2 linked regions of the Tamandua tetradactyla genome follow. The protein of the gene in region 1 purifies or fractionates together with the protein of each later gene. This does not show direct contact. Links are inferred from orthologs where the notes say so. Each region holds a gene or a part of one and is shown on either strand. Other genes may lie near its edges.

The links.
Region 2: the proteins of RAB27B (region 1) and SYTL4 purify together in Homo sapiens (co-immunoprecipitation; 3 studies listed by BioGRID and IntAct, counting the BioPlex papers as one, with this or other methods). This does not show direct contact. The link is inferred for Tamandua tetradactyla from reciprocal best matches to the Homo sapiens genes RAB27B and SYTL4.

What each region holds. Positions count from the first base shown.
Region 1 is NC_135344.1:27,605,186-27,620,295, forward strand, and holds the start of RAB27B (ras-related protein Rab-27B), read right to left. Parts: upstream 7,732-15,110; 5' UTR 7,681-7,731; intron 7,280-7,680; 5' UTR 6,749-7,279; intron 1-6,748. UniProt on the Homo sapiens protein: Small GTPase which cycles between active GTP-bound and inactive GDP-bound states. In its active state, binds to a variety of effector proteins to regulate homeostasis of late endocytic pathway, including endosomal positioning, maturation and secretion.
Region 2 is NC_135353.1:73,159,889-73,175,628, forward strand, and holds the start of SYTL4 (synaptotagmin-like protein 4), read left to right. Parts: upstream 1-8,177; 5' UTR 8,178-8,307; intron 8,308-9,258; 5' UTR 9,259-9,330; exon of another isoform or gene 9,331-9,377; intron 9,378-15,740. UniProt on the Homo sapiens protein: Modulates exocytosis of dense-core granules and secretion of hormones in the pancreas and the pituitary. Interacts with vesicles containing negatively charged phospholipids in a Ca(2+)-independent manner.

The sequences.
Region 1 (15,110 bases):
AATCCAATGCCTTCCAGGAACTGAAGGGCAGGAAACTGATTTCTGGTTCCTTGGATCTCACTCATACATGAGTCTACTCTAAAAGTCAAGACACACTTTGAAAGAGTGAAAAACTTCAAGAAGTCCGAATCGTCAAAAACATACTTGACCATAAAAACTGCTGAGGACCAAAAGGAGACAATTATGCTTCAAGGGAAATTTATCTTCATAGCCACTCAGTTATTTTTTTGCAGAGAGAACCAAACATAGAGTTCATTGACTTTCTCACAGCTTGCACAGGAAACAGATAAATGCCAGGCCTTCCCCAAGTCTGCAGAGGAGACCAAGCCCACAGCCTCGTTTAACTTGCCCTTATGGATATGCAAAGGTACGCTCAATTTTTCATCTCATTTCACCTTTAACTAGGAATACTCTGCATTAGGATTTCAAACAGAAGGACTTTTATCCATTTGCCAAGTATGTCAACTCTCAGGACAGGGGGTTCCTAAATTAAAAAGGAATCCAGAATCAGGGTTAATGAGGAAAGCATTTGACTTTGCTTGCTTGGTTTTTCTAGTATCTAAGTGAAACACTAAAGAGATTTGGAGAGATTATATAGGCAAATTTAAAAATCCGTAGTACCTACTAATGGCCTAGTGAAGGCCTGTGAGAAAAGCAACTGGAAAGTTGTTCATTTCATTTTATTGCTACTATGTAGTCTTCAACAACCAGTATACCATTTCCAACTAAAGATGAAAGAATAAGCTTTTCTTTATGATTCCCTATTTACCCTACTTATTTAACTCTGCATCATTACATTGTAACTTTCACAGTTATGAATACAAGAAGGTTTCACTAAAGTGACTTTTTTTTTCTAAGGTATATCCTGCAGTGTTGTTTCCAGCCTTGCATCCAATGGAGGCATTGTATCTCAAAACCCTAAGTCAGAGTTTGATAACAGATATTATATGACCAAGCTTAGGAATATCTGTCTAGGATAGAATGTGGGTGGAGTGGGAATGGAGGCAGGGACTGGAAATGACAGTTTCTATATATAGTTAGTTGTGGTTATCTATCTTCAGTTCATTCAGGGAATTAATAATTTACTAAATGGGCTGTTTTGCACCTGCTTTCCAAGCATTTGGGCAGAAACTTCAGAAAAGTAGAGCCTAAGTCAGACTAAGATTCATTATTCAGTATGTGGCAACTCTTGACATTGGAAAATGTTTCTATGTTATTTTTTCATTTTAGCAAAAAGATACACTTTTCCCTTTCTTCAAAAATCTACTCTCATTCCATATTTGAATATTCCCATATGTCCAGAAATTTTTATCAACAGTATTTTTTGTTAATGAGAATAACATACTTTGAATAATAGACAAAAAGTTATTCTTTTAACAAACTTCTCAGGCTCTGAGGGCCTTCCCTAAGTTGGAATGGATAAATATAATTCAAAGCAATTTTGCTTTTTTAAATTATTTGTGTTCTTGTGTATCTCCCAGGTCAGATTTGATGCACAGTTTTGTTCTTCTGAACAAGTTAAGGAGAGAAGCAACAAAAAATTCAGATTGGATTGACCCCAATTTCACCAGAATCAATATAAATGTATGTGCTACACAAAGACAAAAATAAAGTCTTGTTCTTCTTCTTATACCTTTTAAAATTAAAGTTTTCTCTCTTTTGTAGTCTACATATCTCTCTCCCTCCCTCAGACATTTGCATGTATATCTACATATATACATCTACATATCTATTTATCTATCTATCTATCTATCTATCTATCTATCTATCTATCTATCTGTCTAGATGGGTGAATAGATACATAAATGGAAGGAAGAGAGGAAAGAAAACAAGAAAGAAGGAGCCAAATATGAAACAAGAATTGTAGGTTATTCAGGTTTAGACTTTCACAATAAGGATCTTAAGTGTTTCACAATAAGGATCTTAAAATAATTAATCAATTCCTTTTATTTTATACAGTAGAAAATCAAGTTAAGGAGACTTAACTCCATGCCCACAGCTTTATGCTGTCAGTACTAGCAGTATTTGATCAGTCATAGACTCCTAATGGCTTGATTCAAACAGCACCAGTTACGACATCTGTATCTGCCCCTTTGAATTTGTTCCCAAAAGGCCTTGGTATCCTTGACTACTCTACCTACTTAAAAATACTTCTACTGCATTTCTGGGTATTAAACATTTGGTTTATATGGTAGTTAACAGTTTAATTTACTTTGATCTGTTTTGCTATTTTTACAACTGTATTAGCTAAATATTAACCATCATTTCTTAATGCACGATCTAGAATATCTATCAAATATCAAACAAATTATATTCTTATATTTGTTAGAATCACAGCTTTGAATATAATTTGAAGCTCATTTAGTTCAACATCCCCATCAGCTCCTTTAGTGTCCTAAGACCTTTCCTAGGTTAGCACTGGCAGACCCTTTTCCCTCTGCTGGAGTGTTCTCTCCTAACTCTTTACCTGGTGGGTATCCAGACATTCTTCAGTTCTCAACTCAAGTGCTGTTTCCCACCATTACTCTTTCCCACTAAAAGAAGTTACTTTCAGTCATAACAACTTCTCAGATTTATTTTAATTGTTTTAGTGTTAGCTAAACCTTTCCCATTTTTGAACACTGTTTTCTATTTTTTTTTTTTTTGCACGGGCAGGCACCGGGAATCGAACCCGGGTCTCTGGCATGGCAGGCGAGAACTCTGCCTGCTGAGCCACCGTGGCCCTCCCAAAACACTGCTTTCTTTTATACAAAAGAAAAGGGCAGCAAAATAGAAGTTGAGCGATCTTACTTTCTCTCACATCTAGTGACATGGCAGTTCTTTATTCACCACTTTGCTCTAAACATGTTAAAAGATCTTTATCTCTCCTTAGCCTTTATGTAAGCTTCGGCCCATTTTGGACTTTACTCTTCTTCATACTATGCTTTCAGCTTCATCCCCATCTCCCTCCTCATCTCAGCAATATCGGACACAATTGGCCATTCTCTTCTTGAAATATTTTCTTGTTTGAGTTCCACGACTACACCTCTCCTGGTCTGCCTCCTATTTCTCGGTTTTTTTTTTTTTTACCAGCTCCTTCTATTCTAGATCCCTAAATGCTAGAATAGACCTTAGTGCTCTACTTTTCTCTCTCCTATCTCTCTAGGTGATACCCTCAAGACCATGACTCCAAGAAGCATCTATAGGCAGTTGAATCCCAAGCTTCTCTATTCAGCTGTGATTTCCAATTGCTCTAGATTCACGTACCAAAAAGCCCAAACGGACATTTCCAGTTGGATACCTAAAAAGACCTCAAATGGGTGGAAGTGAACTCTAATTTCCCTTTCAAATCTCTTCCTCCCCTGGCATTAGCCATCCTAGGAAACGGCTTCACCCAGTATCTTCAGTACAAAGCCTAGTGATCATTTTGATCTTTCCCTTCCTGTATTTCTCACTTTTTATCTAATCCAAGAGCAAGTAGATAGATACTTCCAGAATCTATCTACTTCACTCCATGACCACTGTTCCAACAATTATCTATGCCACTGTCATCTCTGGAATAGCCTCTTAACTGGTCTCTACTTCTGCTCTAGACGCCCTGAAATCCATTTTCTTCAAGGTAGATAGAGTTATCTTTTAAGCAGATTGTTACCCCTCCTGAGGCTTTTCCCAATCACTGGATCACAGAGTCTCCTTGAGTCACACATTATTTTACCCTTAATTTTTTTTTTCCTGAATAGCTATCACTGGAACGTACAAAATCATTTGTTTATTTACTCATGGTCTATCTCTCCACACTAGAATGTAAATGCCATAATGGCCGAGCCCCTTTATAAAGTGATATATTCTTCTTGGAATGCCCTTGGGTATCCACCATGCTTAGAGGATAGCCAGGGCTATAGGGTGCTCAGTAAACATTTGTTGAGTGGATCACTGATAAATTGTATCTAAATCATAGTATCTCCTCAGATCATTCAGAATATAAATCAAAAGGCACCATGCTGATTATGACCCTCAAAGCTCTCCATGACCAAGTCCCATAACTGCTCTGATCCCATTACTTGCTTCTCTCAGGCTCACTCCCTCTGCTCCAGCTACACAGCCTTCTTCGCTCTTCTTAGGAGATGCCCTGCTCTTTGTTCCTTCATTCTGGAATTCTCTTTCTCTTTGTATCCACTTGTCTCACCCCCTTACTTCCTTCAACTCTATATGCAAATATCCTCTTCTCAGTGAGGCTCTCCCTGTGCACCCACCCCGACTTCCAAATGTCCCTTGTCCAGTGTTACCAGCACTTGCTCCGCCTCTGTTTTCTAGTCTCTCCTTAGCCCCTACTTTCATGTACCCTGATTTAACTTGCACACCTTGTTTACTCTCTGTCTACCCTTGTAAAATGAAAGCTCTATAGGGACAGATATTTTTGACTGCTTTGTCTACTTCTATACACAAAGTGCCCAGAATAGTGCATGATGCTATTAATAAATACTTGTTATTCAATGAACAAGCATCTTAATATACTTTTACTCTCATCTAGTTGAGCAGATGTTTAAGAAGACAATTTATTGAAAATTTTTTGGCTATTTTTTAAAAGGCATTTTATTCTCATTACTGGTGATCTAGAGAAGTTTCCCTCATTTTAAGGGCAGCTGATGAGAAAAGATTAATATTTGGAGAACATGAATAATGATTGCAAATTGCGTAAAACAAATTGAGCAATACTCTCAACTCCATATATGGGGTTTACAATAGGTTTTTCATGATTCTTTAGTGATGCCATTGCTTCCTACCATGATGGAATAAATTGAAGTTCCATATACATCTAATAATGGATTAAAAATCATTTCCCTTCAAAAGCCATCTTTAGAAAGTGATGTATTCTTCATGGGAAACACCTGGGTTTGCCCTGTCTGTTTTCATGGTAATTGTTTTCCATGTCAACATTGCAATTACTTGCTTAAGAGCTGAACTATTAGCTAACCAACCAGTTCCTTGATGAATCAACTCAAGAAACTGGATTAATTATGAGTAGAGCTTTTACGTGAATAGTTGGTCTAATTTTGTGTTCTATTGAACCGAGAGACCAAAGAAACTAGCCAGAAATTTCCCATTATGAAGGTAGGAAAGGAGCAGATTTCTGTTCTGAACCACCTGGGACTTAGGCTCACTTCCACTTTTCCAGAAGAGTGAAAGAAATGAAAAGCAATTCTTAAACCAGCAGATAATTTTAGTATAACTTGGTGTATTAGGAGCTGAGAAGTCCACTGGTGTTAGAATATCTTTTCTGCCAGGTCAAATATGTCTGTTCCAGATATGGCCTATGAGAAAGTTGTGGTTTGCTTACATTTGACATATTCTATTTATTCGTTCTTGGCAACTATGAGAACAGGCTCATCCAGTTTCGTCTGAAATGTTTTGTTTTCCTTTTGAAAGCAATGATAGTAAGATTCTACAGAAGTTCATAGTTCTTCATAACCAGAAAACTTCACTGATATTTAAATTACCTATCAAGATTTCTCTTTCTTTGGTCATCGCAAGAATCCCTTCTTGTCTTCCAGAAGGGCTGATCCCACCTAACTGGAGGATTTTACTAGCAAAGTATGAAAAGTAACTATTTGGGGGGGGGATGGCATAAGACAAGATTGGATCTCACTTCATAATTATGATGTGAACTATAGAGAAGCTTGAGAATTCAGTAAGCTTAAATGCCTTAGGATATAATGCTGAAGTCCATCTTTGTTAATTTTCAAAGTTGAAAACTATAAAATCATGCATATGAGTACATATATTTATTTATTACTGAATATGTGTATGTACAGAGAGAGCTAAATGCTGGGAACAGTGCCCATTTTTCTTTTAATGAGAACAAAATCAATATTCATTAGTATATATATTAAAATAATAATTATGTTGCTAGTAACCCTGAAATTACATGCTATTATTTGTTTTTAATTTAATGATGTACCATTTGAATAGCTGGAACCTTGTACCCTTCATTTCAGACCTTGAATGAAAGAACCTGCAGCATGTACAGGTGAGGTGACTTTAATCAAATACAGCTTTTTGCTAGGAACAAAACTTCTGCTTTTATGAGTTATATTTCACCAGTTTCATTAGAATTCACATGCTTAATTAGATAATGTATTGGGTGGGAATACCTTGGAGGCCAATTTATTCTGATCTCTTGAATGGAGAACACACACACACACACACACACACTCCAGTAGCTTCCACACTTAGATCAGAATGGTAAGGAATGCAGCAAAAACTGGAAAACAGAAATTTCTCATCTACTCGAGTACAAAGCTTGAAGAAATGCAAAGAATATCCCATCACTTGCCTGACTTGCTTCACTAATTCACTTCTTAAATGCAACTCTAGTCGCATTATTATTATTATTATTATTATTTTGATTGTTTTTGAGATGCAAACAGGAGGAAACAGGTATCGCTGTGCCTTTTTTTTTTTTGTCCTAACCAGCTGTTTAATATGCAAATACCAAATAAACAAAGACAGGCAGCTAGTTTTCTGATGACAGCTGTGCACGCACATCAGCGTCTACTTCACAAAGATTTCTGCTGGAAACTGCAGCTCTAACGCGCTCACACACAGACCCCGACTCGTCAAAAGCACAGATGCCAGGCGCCCTCGCCTCTTTCCAGGCCTGCTGCTCCTCATCCACGTCTCACTTCCTTTTTTGCAGGCCAGCAGCCGAGAATACCCTGGAAGGCTGATCACACATTCCAGCAGTAACAGCCCGGCTTCCCCGACTTACCAGCCTGCGAAGTTTCCTTGGCCGAGAGGGCTGGGTGTCAGGTTGCACAGCCGCTTCCTTCCCTTTCCGCGGCCCTTGGGTTCCTGGGCTCCAACACCAGCGACAGCCAGGGATCTGGGCTTCACAAGGCGACCTTGCCGGGGACGGCTCCCGACCTGTGGCCCCGGATCGCTCCTCCACCGGTCGGTCCCCGGCCCTGCCAGGCGGCTGGCACCACCCCCAGGAGCCGGCCGGAGCCGCCTCGGATCTGAAAGGTCCGCGCGAGGAGAAGGCGTGTCTCCCAGGGCCAACGCGGATGTGAGGCGCTCACCTCAGGCAAAGCTGGCTGCTGACTCAACCGCTGGAAGCAGAAACACACTTGGCTTTTGGTTAAATTCTCCACACTGTGGGGTTTCCAGCCCCAGCGATGAGTTCATTTTTATAAGTGTGTTTTTCTGTGTTTTCTCTGACATCTCTTATTCAAAAACCCAGGGCATGGTGAGGGGAAATCTTCCAATGCACTGCATTCTCTACAAGGGAATCTCTCTGTCACTGTAGACAGGAAGTAAAAGGGGAGTTGTAAAGAAATGAGTATTCCTAAAGTTAAGATGTATTAACATGAATACTTTCATCAGTACGAGCCATCCTAATTGTGCTTCCTTAAAGTCACATCAGAGATCAGCGTGTTAGTCACTGCAGGCTAGGAGTGCAAATGGAATAAGTGAAAACACACAGTCATTGAACAAAGATGTACTAAGTGCTGACTATGAGGCAGGCCCTGCTCTAGACAGTTCAGCTTCATCCATCCATAAAAACAGACCGAGACCCCGGCCGGCCCACTTGGGGTTTTATTGCAGACAAACTGACATCCTTAGTTTACAGACTGATAGTGAAGGTAAGAATACAAGCTTGTGACATATAATAGCAGTGAGGAAAATAAAAAAGCTTCAAACCTGTTGCTTGCATTCATGCTGGTGACCAATAAGCAGCCTGTTTCACCCGCTCTCGGGGCGCTGGCCTTCTCAGCTTGGGGCCAACCCCTTCAGCAGTGTCATGAGGCGGGGTGAAGGAGCAGCAACAAATAAAACAAAATAGTGCAGAAGGGGGGAAAGGGAGGACTCACTGTGTCCCAGGGAAATCTGCCTGCTCTATTAGGAAAACACAAAGTTTCTATGTTCTGGGCCTCAGTGTGCTTATCTTTAAAATGGGGGATAACTGATAATTATTGTCTTCATAGGGTTACTGTGAGTAAATGAGTTCATCCAAGTTAAGTGCATTAAACAGTGCCTGGCTCACAGTCAGTTCTATGTATGTGTTGGCTAGTCGTAATTACTTTGGTAGCAATTAATCTACTCCATTCTCCCATGGCACAATCCAGTTCATATATACATATATTTCTGATCTACTAGGAGAAAGTATTAGAGGTTTAGGTTGTGAATTTTCAAAATATGTATTCCAGGAATCTTGATGGTATATTTATTTGCATCCATCAGCGGTATCTGATGTGTGTATGTATTTGCTGGCCTGGTTAGAGATAAAAGAAAAAACATGAAGACCTTGAATTTGTTCCACTGAATATAACACGTTATTAATTTAAAATGTTTCTTTGAGATATAAAATGATAACCTGTTTTGTTTACCTAGTTTGTGTGTTCACTTACTAACATTGATCTTAATAGTGTATTTCCTATGTGCACTAAAATTTAGAAAGTTTTTGCTCAGAGATCATCTCATTTGTTTTTCACATTATTTTGAAATCGGCAAGGCGCTTCTTATTTTTATTGTTCCCCTTTTAAGGATGAGGAAACTGAGGTTGAGAAAGTCCTAACCATTTGCCCAGAGTCGTGAAGGGCAGTAAAGGGAGAGCTCAGATCCTGACCGCTGAGTTCACGGTGATCACTACAGTGTTGTCCCACCACCCCAATATTTCTAGAAAAAGTTCCAGCCATGAGAAAATCTAACGCACACTTTTATTGTCTGCTTTCCTTGTCACCCGTCTGCAGACAAGTGTGTCAGCACTCCCAGAATCAGCAGCTGCAGGGACAGCTCTCCTGGAGTCACTTGCCACATAGAGTCCTGTCTTTCAGGTTTGAGGGCTCTGAGCCATCAGTTTCCCAGGGATGCTACTTGAGAGCACTGGAATGTTTCTTCCCTGTGGGAAGAGGGGTGCTGAGGAGGAGCAGGCAGTGGGTGGCAACCAGAGAAATGTTGCATGGCCACTTCGTAAAGCCCGCTTAAGCAGAGTTAGGGCAGCATAAAAATCACCGGAAAACCAGTGAACACAAAGTGACAGCATCATGTGTTATAATAAAAAAGCCTGCCTGTACCTGGAGTTCATGAAGCACAAATTAAATAGAGATAATTTCTGCTTTCACAGGATTATAATTCAATAAATGCAGCATAGAGGTGAACAGATTTAGAAATATACATGGGGAGACTTCCAGTTAAAAATGGTAAATTGATCATATGTGTTTCATCGCTCCTATCCAAACTCCTCTAACAGTAGAGTAAATAAAATTTTAAAAAGTTATTAACCCTTAAGGACAACTAAAAAGGAGAGAATAAACAAATAAAAGAGATACCAACAGACAAAATACACTGCAATGGATTTTGGGATGACCCTGAATCAGGTGGAGGCTTGGTAACTGATTTGGAAGACCAGACCAGTTTATACAAGATGTGCCTGCAAGAAAGGTTAGGTAGAAGAAGGGAGCAAATTCTGCATAACCCTTAGAAGCTCAGGCCTGAGAGGCCAAAATACCATAATAGAAAGAGGCCTGGTATTGGGGTAAATACAGGGATTTGGTTAGAAGTCTGCAGAGAGAATGCTTGGCCACAAAGTTTCAATCCCCCATGCTATGCAATCAACCCACCATAAATTCCTCCGTCTGCTCAACCTAGCTTAATTTCTCCAGCAGGAGATAAGCAGTTACCCTCTGGAGAGAGAAAACTAGAGTAATGTGTGGTTCAACAAGATGAACTGAACACACACATTTTATCTCTGCTCTTAGAAAAAATGAATAAAAAAGAAATTTATATACAATACAAGATAAAACTTTTGAAATTGAAAATATACTCAAGATTTTTTAAAAAATTGATAGATGGGTTGGAAGATGAAGTTTAAAAAATATTCAAGAAAGTAGAAAAGATGGAGAAATTAAAAATTGGAGAAAAAAAGAAAAATTTCCAATTGGAATCCCAGAAATTTCCAGAAAGAGTTATCTCTATTCAGAGAAAAAATAAGAAAAGAAAACGTGCAAACAAATCCAGAAATGAAGACCATGAACATATGATCTCAAAAGTCCAGGAGAAAAACCATTTAAAATTAATTAAACACACAAGACATATCGTTCTGAAATATCAGAAATATTCAGGAATAAAGAGAAGAATCTAAAATATCTCCCAGAAACATGAAGCAGATCACTTACAAAGGAAAATAATTAAAATTACATTGAATATCTCAAGAATAATACTGGATCCCAAAGATTCTTTGAATGTGCTCAATTTTTTAAAAAAATGAAATGACTTTGAACTTAGATTTGTATATCCAGACAATCTGTCATTCAACTGTGATTAAAGACATCTTTAGACATGCAAGGACTCAAAAAATATATCTCTCAAGAACAACTTTCAAAGAAGGGCTCCCAAAACAAGCTTCTAAATCATGAAAGAGGAAGAGACAGAATCCAGGAAATGTAGATTCAATAGATGAGAGAGTATAATAAATTCTCCAGAACAATTTTGAAGCAGGCCTAGAGAGAAGCAGATGAATGAATGGTAGCAGTACAAATGGTCCAAGAAAAAAGGGAAAAAGAATAGAATAGCAAAAAAGAAAATGACCAATTATTAGATGTACATGTACATTTGGAAAAATATATTGATAAATGTTTATGCAGTGAATACTAGAAGAGCGCATCAAATTCCATGTTCTTCTCTTTTTCCCAGAGCACCTTAAAGAATTAGATTTCTTAGCCCCCTACAGCTGCGGTTAGTGGGTGGGGAGGCATGGGACTAAGTTCTAGCCATTGAAATGTGGGCAAGAGTGAGTACGCCTCTTCCAGGCCATTCCCCTGAAATGACTAATGAGATCCTCCAGGCCTTTTCTCTTTCCTTATTGCTGTCCAGGTAATACAGAGAATCAGTACAGAGCTCTGAGGCAGTAGAAGACATTAATAAAAACCTCTAGGTGAAAGAAATGCGTGGTGCAAATGATTGCATGATCTAGAAACCCCAGCTGATACCATTGGGTTGTGACATGTGCAAGAAATAAACTTGTATTGTCTAAAGCCACTGTAATTTTGGGACTGTTACACAGACCATTCTGTTAAAATTAGCAGGATCACTTGGGGCATTTCTGGCTAATACTAAACATACTTTTTTAAAAAAGGACATGATTTAACTCCAGGAAAACAAAAAGTTGCAAGAGAAAAGGCACGTAATTATGGTAAACCACTTGGCTCAGATGTAGATCAGAATAACGTGAACACTAATGAAAGAATTAATCCTCAGCTATGTTATAACTGTATGTGGAGGGTGGTGATAGGAAAAGACGATTTGTGCAACTAATTTAGATAACTAGATCCTAAACTATTTTAACATAAACTCAATAGTGTGTAAAATTGGTAAATAAACTGTTTTAACAATTAAAAATAAAATATACATAGGGAAACAAAAGACATTTGTTCAATAGAAAAAAGGCATTGCAATTTATTAAGTATTTGTGTATGTTAATAAAATAACCTATAAGCAGTAGAGAAAGTGAATTTGGATTGGAAAATGAAGACAGACTTTAGGGTTTACACAATCATTTATTCATTCAACAAACATTCAAGTAGCACCTTGTGTCTGACACTCTGCTAGGCACTGGGGATACATTAGAGAATGAAAAGGAAGAATAAAAGCAATCTAAGAGAAAATGAACATTTAAAAAGCTTTAAATGAGTACATTTGGTTTCTTCTCTTATATTTGGTGGCATGAGTCGTTAATCCTTTTTAGGCAAGATGCCATCCTTCCTTCTTCAAAATCCTCTTAAAAATTGCCCTCTTTTCTCCTGACCTGAGCCCAACACCGATGAGATGGAAACTTTCTCCTGGGATTGTGGGGAGGGTTTGGCCACGGAGTCATGCAGGCATCTGCCTCCATCTTCTGATGATCCTTAGTTCTGTGTCTGTCTAATCACAATAAAAATCAACCCATCCCCAGTGCCAGGAAACCCCAAAGCATGACTAATATGTCACAAGACTAGACTCCCAAGTCATGCAAGTTTCCCTAACTACTTTCAAAAATGTAACTCAAGAAATACATGTTATATGTTTCAGTTACTTTCTACAAAGCAAATTACTTGAAATGTATAGCACATTAAGACCTATTTTAGATTTATTACACCGGGCCTGTTTACACGATTATATCCAGAATAACTACCAGACAGCGGAGTCTCATCCTTCCCAGCTCTAACCTCATTTTGCCTTAGTTTCTCAAAATGTGAAATGAAGATATACTGGGGCCTAATACGGCCTTTAAGATCTGTCTGTTTTAAAGTTAGAAATAAAAATAAAATATTTGTTTAAATAATTTATTTGGCTATTAATAAACCTCCAATAAATTAGTTGGAGAAAATTTTACTGTATAGCTCCACATACGGCAATCTTTCAATCATTTTGTTACAATTAGACTTTCCTATTTAAAAATATTGCAAAACAAAAGCTTTTGAAAATATTGGAAACTTACAAAATTCCTTGAAGTTCACTCTAGCATCTAACCCCCTGTTTCCATGACTCCATGACCTCATGTATAGCAACTATTATTTTTATTTCACATATTCTTCATTTTGTATTTTAGCATTGGCTTTTTATCTCTGATTTAGTCCTAAGGAACAATAAAACATTATACATCCCTAATGCCCGCCTACTGCTATTGCTGGCACAACTGATATTTATTGGCCGTTACAAGGAACAGTCGACTGCATTTCTCACAGTAATTTCAGAAGGACTTTCTGCTTACACCTCAGCATATTTAAAATATTGCATGTTCATACTGATGAATTTGTGCCATCACACATGCAAAAATAAACTATATTTACTAAACCAGTTGACAAAGGTAGGTAATTAGATATTCAAATTTAATTAATACAAACATTAAAACAAAACATTTTGATATTTACAGGGAGAAGTTTTTATTTGGGACATTTATAATAAATGGAATACCAAATTTCCTAATGATGTCACAGAAGTCCAGCAGTTTTACACTTTAGCCTTGTAGATCCACAGTTGTATTTTTTATATTCCAATGTTTCAGAAAAATGTTCATTTTTTTCTATAAATGAATGAAATAAGTAAAGTTGAAATTAAATCACAACAGTAAAATGGGTCATAAAGTTGAACAGGCATTTTATAAAAGAAGATATTCAAATGGCCAAAAGCATGAAAAGGCACTCACCTCATTAGTTATCAGAGAAATGCAAGTTAAACCACAATTTACAGCTATGTGCGCACCAGAACAGCTAAAATGAAAAAGATTTGATAATATCAAGTGCTGATGAGGAATACGGAGCAATTGAAACACTCACCCACTGCTCCTGTGATGGCAAATTGGCATTTATGTTTTGGAAAACTGAGCTCAAGCAGAGTTATGACCCACCAATTCCTCTCCTAGAAACATCATCCCCAGAACTTCATAACATGTTGACAGTCTTTTACAAGCGCTATTGATAAAAACTGCAAACTGTAAACAACTGAAACGTCCAAAGAATAAAAACTTAATTTGAAGTATATTCATAAATTGACATATTGTACAGTGATAAGAAATAGGAAATTATTGCTACCTGCCAACAACATTAATCAATCTCACAAGCATTGACTAATGAGAAAATCCATACCCCAAACAATAAATTCTGTAGGATTTCACGTACTTTAAAATGTCAAAATCAGGCAAAACTAATCTGTGGGCTTTAGAAATCAAGGTAGTGGTTCTCTTGCAGGAAGTGGAGGGTAAGACACAGGGGATTTCTAGTTACGTGCTGTCCCTTCATCTGTGTGCTGGTTATGTAGGGTGTTTCTTTGTGAAATTCATCCAACCATATGCTTTTTCTTTGTACACATTACTGAATGTATTTTATCCTTCAATAAAATTACCTTAAACTAGAAATCAACAATAGGATATAATTGAAATCAGATTAAGGAGGAAAAGAGGCTGAGAAAGACAGGATGAAGTCAGAAGCAGGGTTAGTACAAAAAAATGCATCCTTTCTCATTATTACCACTGTTAGAGGCAGGCCATGCAATAGTTATGAGTCACTGTAGCCATAATATAAAAACAAATGTGTTGCTCAAGGGAAGCCCACCCATTATTCACAGGAGTAAGCAAAGAGAAATTTCCCTCATGCTCATTAAGAGGCTTTATCGTATATGATGAGCTATAACTTCAAGAACTTTCTTCAGGTAAATTTCACAATGAATTGCTTGGGGTGGTTTCTTAAAATGGCCATCAGTGTAGAAGGATGGCATTAATAGCAAATTATAATTCAGTAAAAGTAGTTCTAGGGAAAGTGAGGGGCTGTCAAAATGCTGTTCTTTGCATGTTTGGCTTAATCCAGAAATTGATTTAAGAGTATGAAACTGATGAACTGTGTAGCCTCAGATACACACATTGTGTGAAATCCTGAAGCACAAAATATTTAAGACTGTATTTTGTCAGGAGTACTAGGAGAGCAGCGAATAAACGTTGACAATTAAATGAGAATTCACATGTTTTAGCCAGTGGGATTAAGATTGGCTTCATGTTATGAGAGCTGAGAAGCTTGACATAGACGTGTCTGCAGAGAAGAGCTCCCTATTTCTGCCCAAGACTAACCCAAGGGAGATGCTCAGTTAGTAGACTGGGGTCCTCTCCAGCATGCACTGATTACATCCCATGAAGTTCTACTTCATGGAGCATTAGTTAAATCCCTGGGAAAAATGTGAAGGACGCATAACCCACGCATTTTCAATGGGAGTGGTATTGACCCAGGGCGATGAAAATGGCTCTTGGAGAGTGAAAAAAATCTTACCCTTTGTACGTATAAAGCACAGATGTGTGCGTACAAGAATAGACATACCATATATATCTGTGGTGTTAAAAATTTCATAGGGGGCTGTTAGGGAAAAAACGTCTGAAAAGACTTCTTGGGTGGGGTGGGGAGATGCATGAAATTAAAGTTGAGAAAAACTGGTGCAATCAAATGCCAAATGAAAATAATAACAGCCATCTCTCTTCCACCCCCAATTCTGAAAAATCACTCACAGAATGTCACTTATTCAATATTCTTCAATATAAACTATTTGCATATATATTCTCAGATAAATTATGAGTTAAATTCGTTAAATATTGGAATGTCTATTAAAAAGGT
Region 2 (15,740 bases), on another chromosome or scaffold:
ACCTGCTAGGCAGGATATGAAAACACAGAGTCTAGAGGCTTCAACAAGGAAAGCCTGACAACCTGCTGGGTCTCATCCTCAGGGAAACTTGATACTGATTACACCCTCTTCCTGAGACCTGGCCTGTCTGGTCCTGGAAAGTCTGATTGTGGTTGATCATATATGCGGAGACCCTCCTCATAGAAAGGTTCCATAAGGCAGGGTAAGAGCCAGAAAAACAAGAGCTAAAAAATTCTGATCAGTTAAACAGAAGCCATGCTAGAGATCTAGAATAAGTTGAACTGAATGCCAAAGAACAGGTAGAGAACAAAGCCAACCAACAAGAAACCCCTAGGTAAAAGAATGAAAATGACCTCCCAAATAAACAAATCAAGTAAATCAGATGTCTAGACACCAGTAAAAAAAAAATTATGAGCCATATTAGACAAAAATAAGATATAGCCCAGTCAAAGGAACAAATTAAGACTTCAAATGAGATACAGGAGTTAAAACAATTAATTAAAGATATTCAAACAAACATTCTAAATCAAATAAAAAATCAAATCAATGAGTTGAGGGAAGATATGGCAAAAGAGATGAAGGGCACAAAGAAGACACTGGGAGTCCATAAAGACAAACTTGAAAGCTTGAAAAAACAAATTTAGAAATTATGGGAATGAAAGGCACAATAGAGGAGATGAAAAATGCATTAGTGACTTATCACAGCAGATTTGAAGAGGCAGGAGAAAGGATTGGTGAACTAGAGGATAAGACATCTGAAATCCTACACACAAAAGATCAGATAGGGAAAACGATGGAAAAATATGATCAGGGTCTCAGCGAATAGAATGACAACATGGAGCATGTGAATATATGTGCTATGGGTGTCTCAGAAAGAGAAAAGTAGGGAAAAGAGACAGAAAGCATAATGCAGGAAATAATCACTGAAAATTTCCCATCTCTTATGAAAGACATAAAATTACAGATTCAGGAAGTGCAGCACACCCCAAAGAGAATAGATCCAAATACAACCTACTCAAAGACACTTACTAATCAGATTGTCAATAGCAAAGACAAAGAATTCTGAAAGCAACAAGAGAAAAGAAAGCAGAAACCATGGAGCCGAGAAGGCAGTGGTTTGATATATTTAAGATACTGAATGAAAATACTGCCAACCAAGAATGCTATATCTAGAAATAGTTTTCCTTCAAAAATGAGGGAAAGTTTAAAATATTTTCAAACAGACACTGAGAGAGTTTGTGAACAAGAGACCTACTCTACAAGAAGTTCTAAAGGGTACACTACAAGCAGATAGGAAAATACAAGACAGGTTTGTAGAAGAGTGTAGAAATGAAGACCATCAGTAAGGGTACAGAGTAATGTCATGACACATGCAACACCATAGATGAGCTTTGTGGGCATTATGTTGAGTGAAATTAGCCATAAACAAAAGGACACCTACTGTATGGTCTCATTAATATGAACTGACATTAATGGGTGAACTTTGAGAGTTAAAGTTGAGAACACAGGTTATCAGGAGATGGAAAAAGAGTAGAGATTGGGCATTTGATGCTGAAGGGATACAGAATGTTCAACAGGATAGATTGTAAAGGTCCAGAAATGGAGAGCAAAATACTATCTGAAGGTAGCACAATATTGTAAGTGAACAAAGCTGAGTGTGAGTATGGGTTGAGGGAGGATGGCTAGGGGCATGTATGGCACCAGATAAAGACTGGGACTGTGTAATTTAGCAAAACCTAAAGTGGACTATGATGGTTATTAAATGTACAAATATAAGAATGTTTTTGTATGAGGGAAAATAAATGAATGTCAACATTGCAAGATGTTGAAAATGGGATGGTATATGGGAGAAATATAATCAATGCAAACTAGGGTTTATAGTTAATAGTAACATTGTAATATGATTCATTAAATGTAACAAAGACAATATACCTAAGCTAAACATCAGTTAGAGAGGGATGTAAGGAGTGGTATGGGATTCTTGGTGTTGTTTCTCCTTTTATTTACTTTATTATTTTATTTTTTATTCTTCATTTTTCCCTCTTCTTTCCTTGTAGAAGAAATGGAAACATTATCATATAGATTGTGGTGGTAAATGCGTAACTATGTGATTATACCGGGAACCATTGATTGTTTACATAGAATGGATAATACGGTGTGTGAATAAAACACTTTAAAACATAAACAGAAAGTTACAAGTGCTGGGGAAAATCTGGAAAGAGAGATGTACCTATCCACTGTTAGTAGGGAACTAGAATGGTGCAGCCCCTCTGGAGGGCAGTGTGGTGGTTTCCATAGGTGACTAAGTATAGGGTTGCCATATGATCCTGAAACCTCATTATCAGGTATATACTTGGAAGAACTGAAAGCAGGGACAGGAATTGACCTTTGTACACTGGTGTTTATGGCGGCAGAATTCATGATTTGCAATAGATGGAAGTAGCCTAAGGGTATGTCGACTAATGAACAGAAGGGCAAACTGTGATGTATACATACAATGAAATATTGAGCAGCTGCAAGAAGGAATAAAGTTGAGAGGCATGCAACTAGGTGAACAAAGCTTGAGGACAGTATGTTGAGTGAAATTAGCCAGAAACGAAAAGACAAATATTATAACAATGACTTATATGGACTAACTATAATGTGCAAACTCTGAGAATTGAGTTCAAGACCATAGGTTATCAGGGGGAACGTGTAGTTAAAAGTTCCTAGATTGTAAGTTCTTACAGCAGTCACATCAATTCCTGCATTGTAATGGTTATTTCTAAATTCTGAGATGCTGAGCTTTTTGTGTACAACCTGTTTGTCCTCTGGAACTTCAGGTATTTGTGTGACACCTGAGATTCAGAGTTAGAGTTCTGCAGCTCTGAAGTTGGCATTACTCCATACACTATCTAATTTAACTTATATGGTCAGTTTATTCGAACATCATAATTAAATGAATCTTGCATAGGGTATCAGATCTTGTTGGTTTGTACAGGTTAATGTGATGGCCTGATATATGCCAGAGTAATCTGGGCAGAAAATAAAAAAGCATCTGTTAAGTCCCCTTGAGGGAATGGGGGAAAAGTGGAAACATTAAAATTTCCCACCTCAGGAATTCCTGGTATTCTTACAAGCATTAGGAACTCCCAGTTTAATAAGTCAAGCCCTTGATCTTGGGGCCTGCCCTTATGCAACTTATTCCTGCAAAGGAGAAGCTAAGCCTATGTATAATTTGCCAAAGATTCACCCCCAGAGAACATTTTCTGTTGCTCAGATGTGGCTGCTCTCTCTAAGCCAACTCTGCAGCAAAGTTGGGCATGACTCCCAGGGTGTAAGTCTCCTTGGCAATATGGGACATGATTCCTGGGGATGATTCTAGTCCTGGCATCATGGGATTGAGAAAGCCTTCTTAACTAAAAGGAGGAAGAGAAATAAAACAAAATAAAATTTCAGTCACTGCAAGATTTCAAATAGAGTTGAGAGGAGATTCTGGAGGTTATTCTTATGTATTATATAGTTATCCCTTTTTAGTTTTAGTGGATTAGTATAGCTAGAAGGAAATACCTGACACTGAACTGTGATCCAATAGCCTTGATTTTTGAAGATGATTGTATAACTATATAACTTCCATGGTGTGACCATGTGATTGTGAAAATCTTGTGACTGATGCCCCTTTTATCCAGTGTATGGACAGATGAGTAAGAAAATAAAGACAATAAATAAATAAATAGTAGGGGAATAAGGGTTATGGAATGTTTGGGGTGGTCTTTTAAATTCTTTTTATTCTTATTTTTTTTCAAATAATGAAAATGTTCAAGAACTGATTGTGGTTATGAAGGCACAACGATATGATGATACTGTGAACCATTGATTGAACACTTTGATGATTATATGGTTTGTGAATATATCTCAGAAAAACCTAAATAAACAAGTATATAGTTATTCATTAACAGTAATTTTATATATATATATATATATATATATATATATGAAGGAAACAGTGGGCAACAGCATCAAACATTGCTAGAGGGTCAGAATAAAATAAAACACAAAAACAATCACTGCTCATTTTACCAAGGAGTCCCTATCTTTTGCTTTTATATCCTGGTAAGTAATGGTTTGGCTTCCCTTCTCCCCAAGAGGCTTTTTAAAAAATAGTATATGTCCACTTCAGAATAAATCACTTGAATAGGTCTTAAAAGTTTTCAGCCCTTCATTACCAATTTCCAAAGAAAAACCAGTCCTGAACTTAGTCTTGGCCATAGATAAAGGAACCCATCCTCAGTACAATTCAGCACATTTTCCCCTGACCTGTACTCTCTTCTTGAATTCAGCAGCAAAACCTGCTTATTGACATTTGTATACACCTCCATTTTACTCCCTTCCTTTGAATGTCCTTCTCCCTTCTCCCCTTCTACCATACATTTCAAAAGTATAAGTAGAATGTATGAAGAACTCTAACAACTTAACAATAAAAAGACAAGTAACACAATTGAAGAAAGTTAGACATGCTAATAGATAATAAGCACATGAGAAGATGCTCAACATCATTCATTAGTCATTAAGGAAATGTACAGCAAAATCACAATGAGATGCCACACTTCACACCCACTAGGTTCTATGATTTTTAAAAAGACACATAAATACAAGCTTTGGTGAGGATGTTGAAAAATGAAAACTCCCATACATTGCTGGTGGGAATGTAAATTGGGGCAGTTGCTTTTGAAAGTGGTCTGGCAGTTCCTCAGACGGTTAAACAGAGTTCCCAGATGACCTAGCAATTCATTCATAGGTATATACCTAAGAGAAATGAAAACATATGTCCATATAAAAATGTATTCACGAATGTTCATGACGGCATTATTCATAATAGCCAAAAGTGGAAATAACCGAAATGTCCATCGATTGATGAAAGGATAAATAAAAAGTAGCATATCATTATTCAACAGCAAAAAGAAGTACTGATACATACTACAATGTGGATGAACTTGAAAACTTTACACTAAGTGAAAGAAGCAGTCATAAAAGACTACAAGTTATGTGATTTCATTTACTTGAAATGTCCAGAATAGGCAAATCTTTAGAGACAAAAATTAGATTAGTGGTTCTCTAGGGGAGGGAGATGTTGGAAGGAAATGGGGAGTAACTGCTAATAGGTAGGTGGTTTCTTTTTGGGGTGATGAAAGTATTCTAAAATTCACTGAGGTTATACTTGCTTGCACAACTCTATACTAAAACCCACTGAATTGTGCACTTTAAATAGGTGAATCATATGGTATGTGAATTACATCTGAAGAAAGCTGTTATTAAAATAAAAGTGTAAGGAGACCAAATTTTTTTCTAAGGAGCCATTTGTAACTATTCCCATTCAGCTTGGGGTCACCAGAGTTTTCTTTTTGTATTTATGCATGCAATCCTGCTCAATTGCATTTGCCTATACAGGGCCCTTTCTTTCTGTGTACTTTGTGCTTACCTATGCATTAGCATTCTAATCCTCAATTAATGCTACGCTATGCCTTCTCTACCTGTATGTCTAGAATTTCCAGAGAACATTATACAATCATGTGAATTGAACCTCAGAATGGAGGAGTACATGGGCTTCAACTATATTGGCAATGCTTTATTTCTCAAGCTGAGTGGTGGGCATGTCCTTGTTGCTATATTATTCTTTATATGTTTATGAATTTTAAAATATTTAATACTTTTTAAAAAAGTAATTGTTCAATACCGTCACCTGGGGCTGAGGAAAATCTCCATCTCTTTAGTTTGCAATAGCCAAAACTCCTTCAAAGTGGCAAAGCAGAACAACTCCATGAATCAAATTATTCACAATGGATTAGGAGCTTACATGCTATATATAAAACGATAATCCATAAATTCATGCTTACATTTTTGCACAGGATAGCACCTGGGTTTGCTTGCGTTAGATCCTTCAAACTATTTAGTATATGAATCCTTGTGGCAGACAAAGAGGATCAAATAGAAATTGATAGCAATTTGCAAAGTACAGAATATATGTAAGCAAACCATTGATTAACTTTGTTTTGGTTCATTGTTTATGTTGGTGTCTCTGTGTATTTGCAGCTGGGTTAGTGAGACGCTTAGAGAAGACCAGTCAGATCCTCACATACTCTTTAATGAGGCAGACCTTGCAGGGTTAGAAATTGCACATGTAGAAAGAAGTAAACGCTTAAAATAATATCTCGAAATTTTGCAACTTGCTGATGAATAAGAGGGTTGAACTAAATGTTTTCTGAAGTCCCTTCTGGCTGAGGGTGTTAGCAGTTCTCCCCAAGTACCTCCTGGGAAGGGGCAGAGAAGTGCTTGGTCTGAATGCCCACAGGCCAGGGCGAGAGAAGACTCCTATGCCTCTCGTACATCATTTCCACGACGGAGGTTTGGGAGATGCATTCAAAGCTCAGGGCTGAGTAGAGTGGCCTCGAGGCTGAAGTGGCAAAGCTAGGTAGAAAAAAAGGATTTCCTTTTTGAAATGACCTCACTTCAGGCTGGGGGCAGGGTATTGAGGGGCTAAAGTAACTAAGAAAACTCTGGGAAAGAGCCTGGGAGCTGTATTTTACTGTTTGTCTGCTAGAATGAAGAAAATTTTTTTCTTTACCTTTTTAAGATTTTAAAAAAGATTTGTTATATTATCAAAGCCATACATGCTCATTACAGGATAGTTGAAAAATACAGAAAAGAAGAAGAAAAATGAAAATTCATTTAGTCCATTGTATGACCATATTTTAATTTAAAAAATTTTTGTTTTGTAGTATAACGTATATACAAAGAGAGAGAAAAGCAATAGTTTTCAAAGCACTCTTCAACAAATAGTTACAGGACAGATCCCAAAGTTTGTCATGGGCCAACATATGATCCTCTCAGGTTTCTCCTTCTAGCTGCTGCTCCTGAATATAGGAGGTCAGAAGGCATAAATATTTTTTTATCATCACAATCGACTTTTTTTCTTTTTTGTGAAAAATGACATATATACAAAAAAGCAATAAATTTCAAAGCACAGTACTACAATTAGTTGTAGAACATATTTCAGAGTTTGGCATGGGTTAGAATTCCACAATTTTAGGTTTTTACTTCTGGCTGCTCTAAGCTACTGGAGACTAAAAGAGATCAATTTAATGATTCAGCAATCACATTCATTTGTTAAATCCTATCTTCTCGGTGACCATACTTTAATTTACTTAACCATTGAACCATTAGTTTTCTTCCCTAGTATTTTACTATTCTAAGAAATACAAGGAAGGTAAGTGGTGTGTTGGAGAAGGAAGCCAGGTTGCTGGAGAATAAGAGATGAATGAAAGGTAGGAGAATGGAAATAGGAATGTACCTTTAAAGTACATTTTCAATCAACTTGCCTATAAAGAGGAGCTGGAGTCGACTTCGTGCGTAGGGAGGATATATATTTTTTAAGGTGAAGGAGAATTGAGCATGTTTAATTGCTGATGACAGCTTCAGAGAGGCTTGAACAGGTTTAATGGCTAATGAGAGGGAGGGAGGGAGAGAGTGAAACCTACAATCTACAATACTGGGTAGATATGAACATTTTAAAATCTATTAGTATATATTGCTCAGGAGCTTTGTAAGACGGTTTTTACCAGTACACTCCTACTAGCAAGTCTGAGAGAGCTCGTCCGTGGCCACTTTGCTATCCGTAAGTTACAATAATAATAAAAAAAAATTTGCTAAAGAATCGCATCATTCTAATTCGCTTTCTTTGATTACTAGTGAGCTGAATATTTTAACCAGTTGTTCCTTGTGTGTACATTTAGTTTATGTCCTTTGCCCACCATGTTTTTATTTGAGACACTCTTATTTGCCATAAAAAGCCGAAAGCCAAAGGATCAGAATGATATAACATTTTAGGCTTCCAATTTATGCAGTCCAGAGTCTTCATATTCTTAAGTACACGACAGTTTGACAACTTTGGGCCCAGCTGAGCGGAAGAAGGTAATTTTTACCATCGAAGAGAGTAGGCACAGATGGAAGTAAAGTCTTAAAACCGTCTAGTCTTAAAAACCTGTCTTCAGTCCTCAAGCTCCCTTTCCTAACCCGGGAGACACCCATTTGGTGGCCAGAGCTGCCCTGGCGGGAGTGGCCCGCTAGTAAGGAGCCCAGAACGCTGTGCGGCCCCTTTAAGAGTCCAGCTCCTCCCCGCTCCAAAGAAAGTTGCAGCTTTTTCCGCCTCCCGGGAGGGTGAGAAGGACGGGCCGCAGGAACGGGCTTGTGGTCTTCCTGGAGTTTGAGACTCTCCTCTGAATCCGGCCCTCGGACATCTCATCTGCTCGCAGCACTTATTGCAGGTGACAGGTAGGTGCGCGACCAGCGGCCGCCCCTTCTCCCTCAGTCCGGTGCTCCTTCTGGGCCCCCAGTCCCCTTTTCGTTTCCGAAGCGCCCCCTCCCACTCCGCGTCTCAGGGACCTGCGTCCTTCCCCCACGCCCCTTACGCCATTCTTGTCTTTCCTTCTTCCTCGCTGACCGTCTGCCCCCTCACCCCTATTCGCCTCTCTGGACCGACCACCCACGCGTTGCCTCCAGTGTGCTTGGGGCGGTCACTCCCTGCTGGTTTTCTTTCTCCCGGGCCTCTAGTGTCCTCTTCCCCTGGCCCACCCGTTACTAACGCGGGCGGTGCCCCTGTGGGCTCTGCCTCCTCCCTTCCCCACCCCCACGGAGTGCACCGGCTTTTCCCGCCTGCCAAAAACCAGGGCCCCTCGGGAGAGCTAGCCGTAGGGGCGGGGATAGGGGCCAGCTCCTAGCGGAACTGTGGCGCCCTCCCAGGCGTCGAGTCCCATTCCCATCGATTCCTCCTGGCCCGAGTGCTAGCGGGATCTCTGCTGCTCACTGCCTCAGGACCTCGGACTTCGCGGCATCGGCTTCCCCAGCCTTGGCCGGTCCGCCACTGGTAAAGGCTGGAGGCTTGTTGGCCCAGAGCCCTGCCTCAGTGGGCTTTCTCAGCGCTTGGGGTTGGTGACCCGGGACCAGGCTTTGTGCTCTAGCACTGAAATGCTTTGTCTTGCCATCCTTTAAGCAGGCTGCGGGGGGAGGGGGGTTGCTTCTGGAGGAGAGTCCCCGTAACCTTCAGAAGGGGGCTTAGAATGCTTCCAGCTTCTGTGATGGTTTGTAATGGGCAGAAAAGGTGTCCCTAATAGCTCTTAACGTTGAATGAGATGGTTGGGTTTTTTTGAAGGTAAAATCTTTTGGTTAGAACCCTAGTGGCTTAAAGTGACTTGTTTTTCATTAACCGACTTTTTCTTCCCCCAGTGCCCTGCTGCTTCGGACCAGAAGACCTAGCATTCCAGAATACAGCTTTTGGCAGGGTTGGCCCTAGACCTTGTACGTTTGTGGCAGAAATTAGTCTTCAATACATCCTGGACTTACAGGTTTTTAAATGGCTTCTTTCCTGCCCTCTCAACTCCCCACCTCCACCTCTCATAAATCCATTCATATTAAGGTGTTAATGACCTAATGTGTTTATCCTGCTGGTCTGCAGAGAGAACTCTTTAATGCAAAGAGTTGAGGTGCTGATGAAGTTTTTTTTTTTTTTTAGCACCTGCTGGAAATCCTAGTAGAAAAACACCACCTTGGTTTGTGAGGCTTTTCTTGGGCAGGGGATGAACATTTTGGATAACAACATTTCAGGTACCTCACTCCTGGTCAGAGCGGTAAAATGGAGGTCAGAGTGTACTCCTTGAGTGTGTGTAGATTCTGGTTGATGGCCTCTCCTTAAAGGTTGCTGGTAATAATAGTTGTTAGACTCCATTGAGCCAGTGTAATAAACTCATTGCATGGTTATCTCATATAATCCTCATGATAACTCTGCAATAAAACTACAATTATGACCATATTATGATGAAAAGGAGGCTTAAGTGCCTTGTCTCAATCACCCACCTGATGAGGGGCAGAACTGGGCCACCTGACTGCAGAGCTTGTGTTTTTATCCTCTGTCATAACACCTCTACTGTCTTGGATATTAGGAATGCTAATTGCTCATGACTGAGGACTAAGTGATTAAAAATATCCCTTCCAAGATGAAACATAAGTTTTGATCCTTGATTCTACTTTAGATTCACTGTGGAGACTTTGGACAATTTACTTCAATGATGTCTTACCCACTTTCCTTCCAACATGGGGCCAATTGCTATGTTGCCACTCTAAGCACATACCTTTGTGTGTATCCAGATGAGTGAAACCTGGGCTTTCAGCTCAGTAGTGATTCTCCCGAAGTTAGGAGAGGGTAACCCTGGATTCTAGGGATGTGCACCTGGTTCAACTTCTTCCTCTTCTTCTGGCTAGGGGAGAAATGAAGGTGTGGTAGGTGATAATGATTTACCTACAACCAGGCCAGAGAGCCTGATGATGATTGTGTGCTTGTTTTGTCATGGCATGCATGGGGCATACCATTTTTGGGTAGGGATAGTCCAGGGTAAAATGTCCTCCTTGATCTCATCTCTGAGACATTGCTCACACTGCTCCCCTCCCCTTTTTTTCCTAAAAAAGCTAACTTGCTACCTGCACACACACACCAACCATTAATTTTTATTCATCTCTAAATATTTAGCTCTAAAGTCACCTTCTTTGGGACAAACTCACTGAATACTCACTTCCTTCCCCTAAGCAGAAGGACTGATTACCCCGTGTCCTAAGGCAGTTGTTTATACCTCAGTAGAGCCAACACTTATCCTACCTGTTTTTCCATGTAAGGTTGTACCCTCTTTAAAGGGCAAGGTCTGGATCTTGGAGTTCTCTTTGTCCTAAGTGCAAGGGATTAACAAGTATTTGTACTATTAACTGGGGATGTAGTGCCCTCAATGGCCTGAGGTCTGGTGATGGTGTGAAGTACAAAAGACATCCTCCTGAGGCACTTGAAATCCTGCAGCTCAGTGTTTTTACTTAAATGTCACCTTGTCAATCAGGCCTTCCCTGACCACCCTATTTGAAATTGCAACTGCTTTTCTGAGCATTCTGTATAATCCATCCCTTCTTGATTACTCTCATTTTTCTTGCCTGTTGTCTTTCTCCCTCCAATATAACATAAGCTCCCTGTGGGCAGGGACTTCTCTGTTTTATTCGCTGGTATATCCCAGCACCCAGAACAGAGCCTGGCATATCGTAGGTGCTTACTAATATTTGTTAAATGAATTGATGAACGACAGTACCATTCTATGAACTGGCATTCTTTTGTGGTCTCCTGGACCTAAGGTGAAGCCCTACCCAGTTGGACACACTATAACTGTAAGGTTGCCCCAGACTCAGTTCTCCCACAGCCTTCCTTCTGCTGGGTTTTACTTTGACATTACGTTCTTGATGACTACTTTGACCTAGTTGTAAGTGCTTCCTCTCTTATTTTGAAGCATGGATTTCTGGATAGAAACTTCTAAAGTTTAAAAGTGGAAGTGTAAAGATGCTGTGCTTCTTGTTGTTAGGAAGGGGGACCACACTAGGAAGAGGGACTGTGGATTGTCAGAAGTCTTGAGGCCCTCAAGGCCTTTGGCAAGCTCCGTAGGAGGTTAGAGAAAGTTATTGTGGGGCCTGGGAAGTCAACAGCTGAAATGAATAAAGGGTGCCCCAGTTCAGACTACTGGCCTCCCAGTCAGGTTACCCTTAGCCTTTCAGGCATGGGTTGGTTGTTGCGTTATGAACTTTGTGGAAAGTCATAGCTGAGTGCTACTTACTGTACTACTTGATTAGTTTTTTTTTTTTTTTTTGACATGGACAGGCACTGGAGAACCAAACCCAGGTCTCTGGCATGGCAGGCAGGAAATCTGCCCCTGATTAGCTTTTGTGCTAGGAGAATTACGTGGTGCGAGGGAACCACTGTGTAATATAAAAGAAAAAAACAAGACGAAACAACAAAACAACACTGTTCTGTCTAAATGTGGGGTTTTTTTTTAGAGCAAGTAGGTAAGAAATTTATTAAGTGTACATGCAGAGAAAGGAGCATGTGGACACTTTTGCAAGTAAAGAAAGATGGAGCACAAGAGGCAATGGGCAATGTGAGGCCATTTACTTTTGTAGATTAGCTTTACTTATTTCCCTTCCCCTTCCTTGTTCGGGGCTCTATCTCCTACCCTCCCTTCTTCCCAGGGCCATGTCTGGTGGTAGACAGTACAGATGGGTGGGTCTGTTGGTGTCACCCTTCTCTGAAGGTGACTCACTTAGGTGGGGGTCATTTGGCTCCAGATGGGTTAGCTGCCCGAGTGTTTTCCATAAGCGGGTAGCCCCTGGCAAAGTATCTGTGCTGGACACAGGGCCTGCTGACCTTGATTAACCATCCTTGTTCAAGGGCTGCTTCATGGTTTTCACTCTCTCCCCTCTCTCCCTGTTCTAGCCTGCCTCAAATTCCCCCTCAGAGAGTTCTCACCCCTCAATTTTGAGGGATGCCAAGGAATGTTGGTCTGTCTTCTGTAGCTGCTTCTGGCTTATTGGGGGGTGTAAGCCCACTCTGATGGGGCATAGAACTCTCTGGATATCTTATTTAAGAGAGGAGAAGCCCGGAGGCACGCTTGGAATGGCTGAAAATCCTTGCATAAATATTGGTTTGGTGTGAATAGCTTCTAGTCTGGAAGAAATAAACTTGGTGAGAAGCTTAATAATGCGAGGGCCTAGTAACAGCAAGGGAAGGGTAGAAGTAAGTGGGCTTAGGGGATGCATTAGCCAAGTGAGACTAGGGAAGAGGGATGGAACTGACCATCTTTCAAGTCTAAGAGTGAATCTTAACTGGGTGGCTTGTTCCTGTTTAACTGGGGAAGAGTGCTGTATGTGCTAAGTTAAGGGGTGCAGGAATGGGGCTTGATTGACTGGGCTGCAGTTTTGGCTACTGTGTTGGTCCAGTTATTTCCTTGAGAGATGTTAAGATTATTTTTCTGATGGCCAGGGCAATGAATTACTGCTGTTTTTTTTTTGTTGATAAGAGCAAGGCGTTTAAGAAATTGAGTATTTCTCAGTGGTGTTTGAGAGAAAGATTCACTTTTTCTACACTGTTGCATGAGCATGCAGGACACATGCAAAAAGGCAGTGTTCCCTTTTTCTAGTTTTAGAGCTCAGGTGAGGACAATTAGTTTTCATTTTGAGTTGAAGTCCCTGGGTCAAGGCTTTGACTTATTAAATCGGAAGCCTACACTGCTTAAGAGAATAGAAGAAATTCCCTAGGTGGGGAAATCTAATAGTTTTATGGGATTTTGTTTGTTTGTTTTTTTGGTTTTAGGGACTTTGCAAATGTATATTTTTATTTTTTTCTTATAATACTTTGGCTCTTATTTTGGTCTTACACAGAACTTTTTTTTTAATTATTTATTTAAAAAAATTTAACAAATGAACTAAAACATTAACATATATAGTCAGTAATTCACAATATCGTCACTTAGTTGCATATTCATCATTTCTTAGAACATTTGCATCAATTCAGAAAAAGAAATAAAAAAGACAACAGAAAAAGAAATAAAACGATAATGGGAAAAAAAAAGATTATACATGCCATACCCCTTACCCCTTGCTTTCATTGATCACTAGCATTTCAAATTAAATTTATTTTAACATTTGTTCCCCCTATTATTTATTTTTATTCCATATGTTCTACTTGTCTGTTGACAAGGTAGATAAAAGGAGCATCAGACACAAGGTTTTCACAATCACACAGTCACATTGTGAAAGCTATATCATTATTCAATCATCCTCAAGAAACATGGTTACTGGAACACAGCTCTACATTTTCAGGCAGTTCCCTCCAGCCTCTCCATTACATGTTGAATAAGAAGGTGATATGTACTTAATACATAGGAATAACCTCCAGGATAACCTCTCGACTCTGTTTGGAATCTCTCAGCCATTGACACTTTGTCTCATTTCACTCTTCCCCCTTTTGGTTTAAAAGGTTTTCTCAAAATCCCTTGATGCTGAGTCTCAGCTCATTATAGGTTTTTTCTCAATCCTTTCGTATTGAGTCTCAGCTCATTCTAGAATTTCTGTCCCACGTTGCCAGGAAGGTCCACACACCTGGGAGTCATGTCCTATGTAGACAGGGGGAGGGTGGTGAGATTGCTTTGTTGTGTTGGCTGGAGAGAGAGGCCACATCTGAGCAACAAAAGAGGCTCTCTTGGGGGTGACTCTTAGGCCTAAATTTTAAGTAGACTTAACCTATCCTTTGCTTACACAGAACTTTTAAAGTTTTAGAATATAAATAATATTCTATATATCTTAGCCCTAACTAGATTAGCATAATTTACATATTCTGGTATGGAGTAATGCTGAGTTTTAGACCTGGAGAACTTTAACTGTGAGTTTCGGGTGTTATGTATATTCTTAAAAGTTTTAGGGAACTACTAGGCTACACAAAGAGCAAAGCGTTTTAGAATTTAGATATAGCAGTTAAAGCTTAGGAGTAAATGTGATTGCTGTAAGAGCTTACACTTTAAATTTTAATTTTTTATAAGCATTTTAAATGAATTTACTTTTAGAAATAAAACATTTGACAGCTGTTTTATATTAGGCTTATTACCTGCAAACTATAGTAGAAGTTTTTTTCTGTTTTACTTTTTTTAATGTTTTTTAACTATGAAATATGACATATATACAAAGAAAAGAAAGAAAAAGCAATACTTTTCAAAGTACATTTCAACAAGTTGTTACAGACCAGATTTCAGAGTTTGTTATGGGTTGCCATTCGCTATTTCAGATTTTTCCTTCTAGCTGCTCCAAAACACTGGAGGCTAGAAGAAATATCAATATAGTGATTCAGCAGTCACACTCATTTGTTAAATACTATTTCTGTGTTATAACTCCTCCTCCTCCTTTGATCCTTCTCCTAATCTATAGAGGTCTTTAGGCAATGCCCATTCTGACTTTTACATGTTGAGAAGGGATGTCTACACTAAAGGATGGGGGGATATAATTAGTTGATAATCTTGGAGAGGCTGATCCCTCTGGGTTTCAGGATTTATCTGGCCTAGGAACCCTCTGGAAATTATAGGTTCCAGGAAAGCAAACTTAGTGCATGAAACTTTTATGGAGTCTCAGTTCGATCCTAGATGTTCTTAAGAGTTAACAAGGAGTGATGTTGGTTGGGGTTTAGCAAACCATTACAATTAGCACTATCTAACTGAAGCACTATCTAACTGAGGCTTGTATAAGAGTAGCCTCTTGACTCTATTTGGTCTTTCTTAGCCACTGATGCCTAATTTTATTACACTTTCCCTCCCTTTTGGTCTGGAAGGCATTGTCGATCTCACAGTGCCAGGGCCAGACTCATCCCCAGGAATCAGACCTTACGTTGTCAGGAAGACTTTCACCCCTGAATGTCATGTCCCACGTAAAGGGGTGGATAATGATTTTCCTTGCAGAGTTGGGCTTAGAGAGAGAGAGGCCACATCTGAGCAACATAAGAGATTTTCTGGAAGAAACTCTTAGGCCTCGTTATAGGTGGTATTAGCTTCTCCACTACAGAAATAAGTTTCATAAGGGCAAGCCTCAAAATCAAGGGTTTGGCTTATTTTCTTGGGAGTCATCAATGGTTGAGTAGGTACCCAGGGTTTCCTAGATAGGAAAGTTTAATAGTTCCCTTTTTTCCCCTTCATGTTCTGTTTTACTTTTATACATTTACTAGAGTTATGTTAGTTCAGGTAGAACATAATTTGTACACTTGTCTTGTTATTCCCATGATTTGTAACTTTTAATATTATACTAATTAGTAGTAGGACAGAAACAATTTCTAAATATATCAATAACATTTTATCCATGCAAATTTAGCT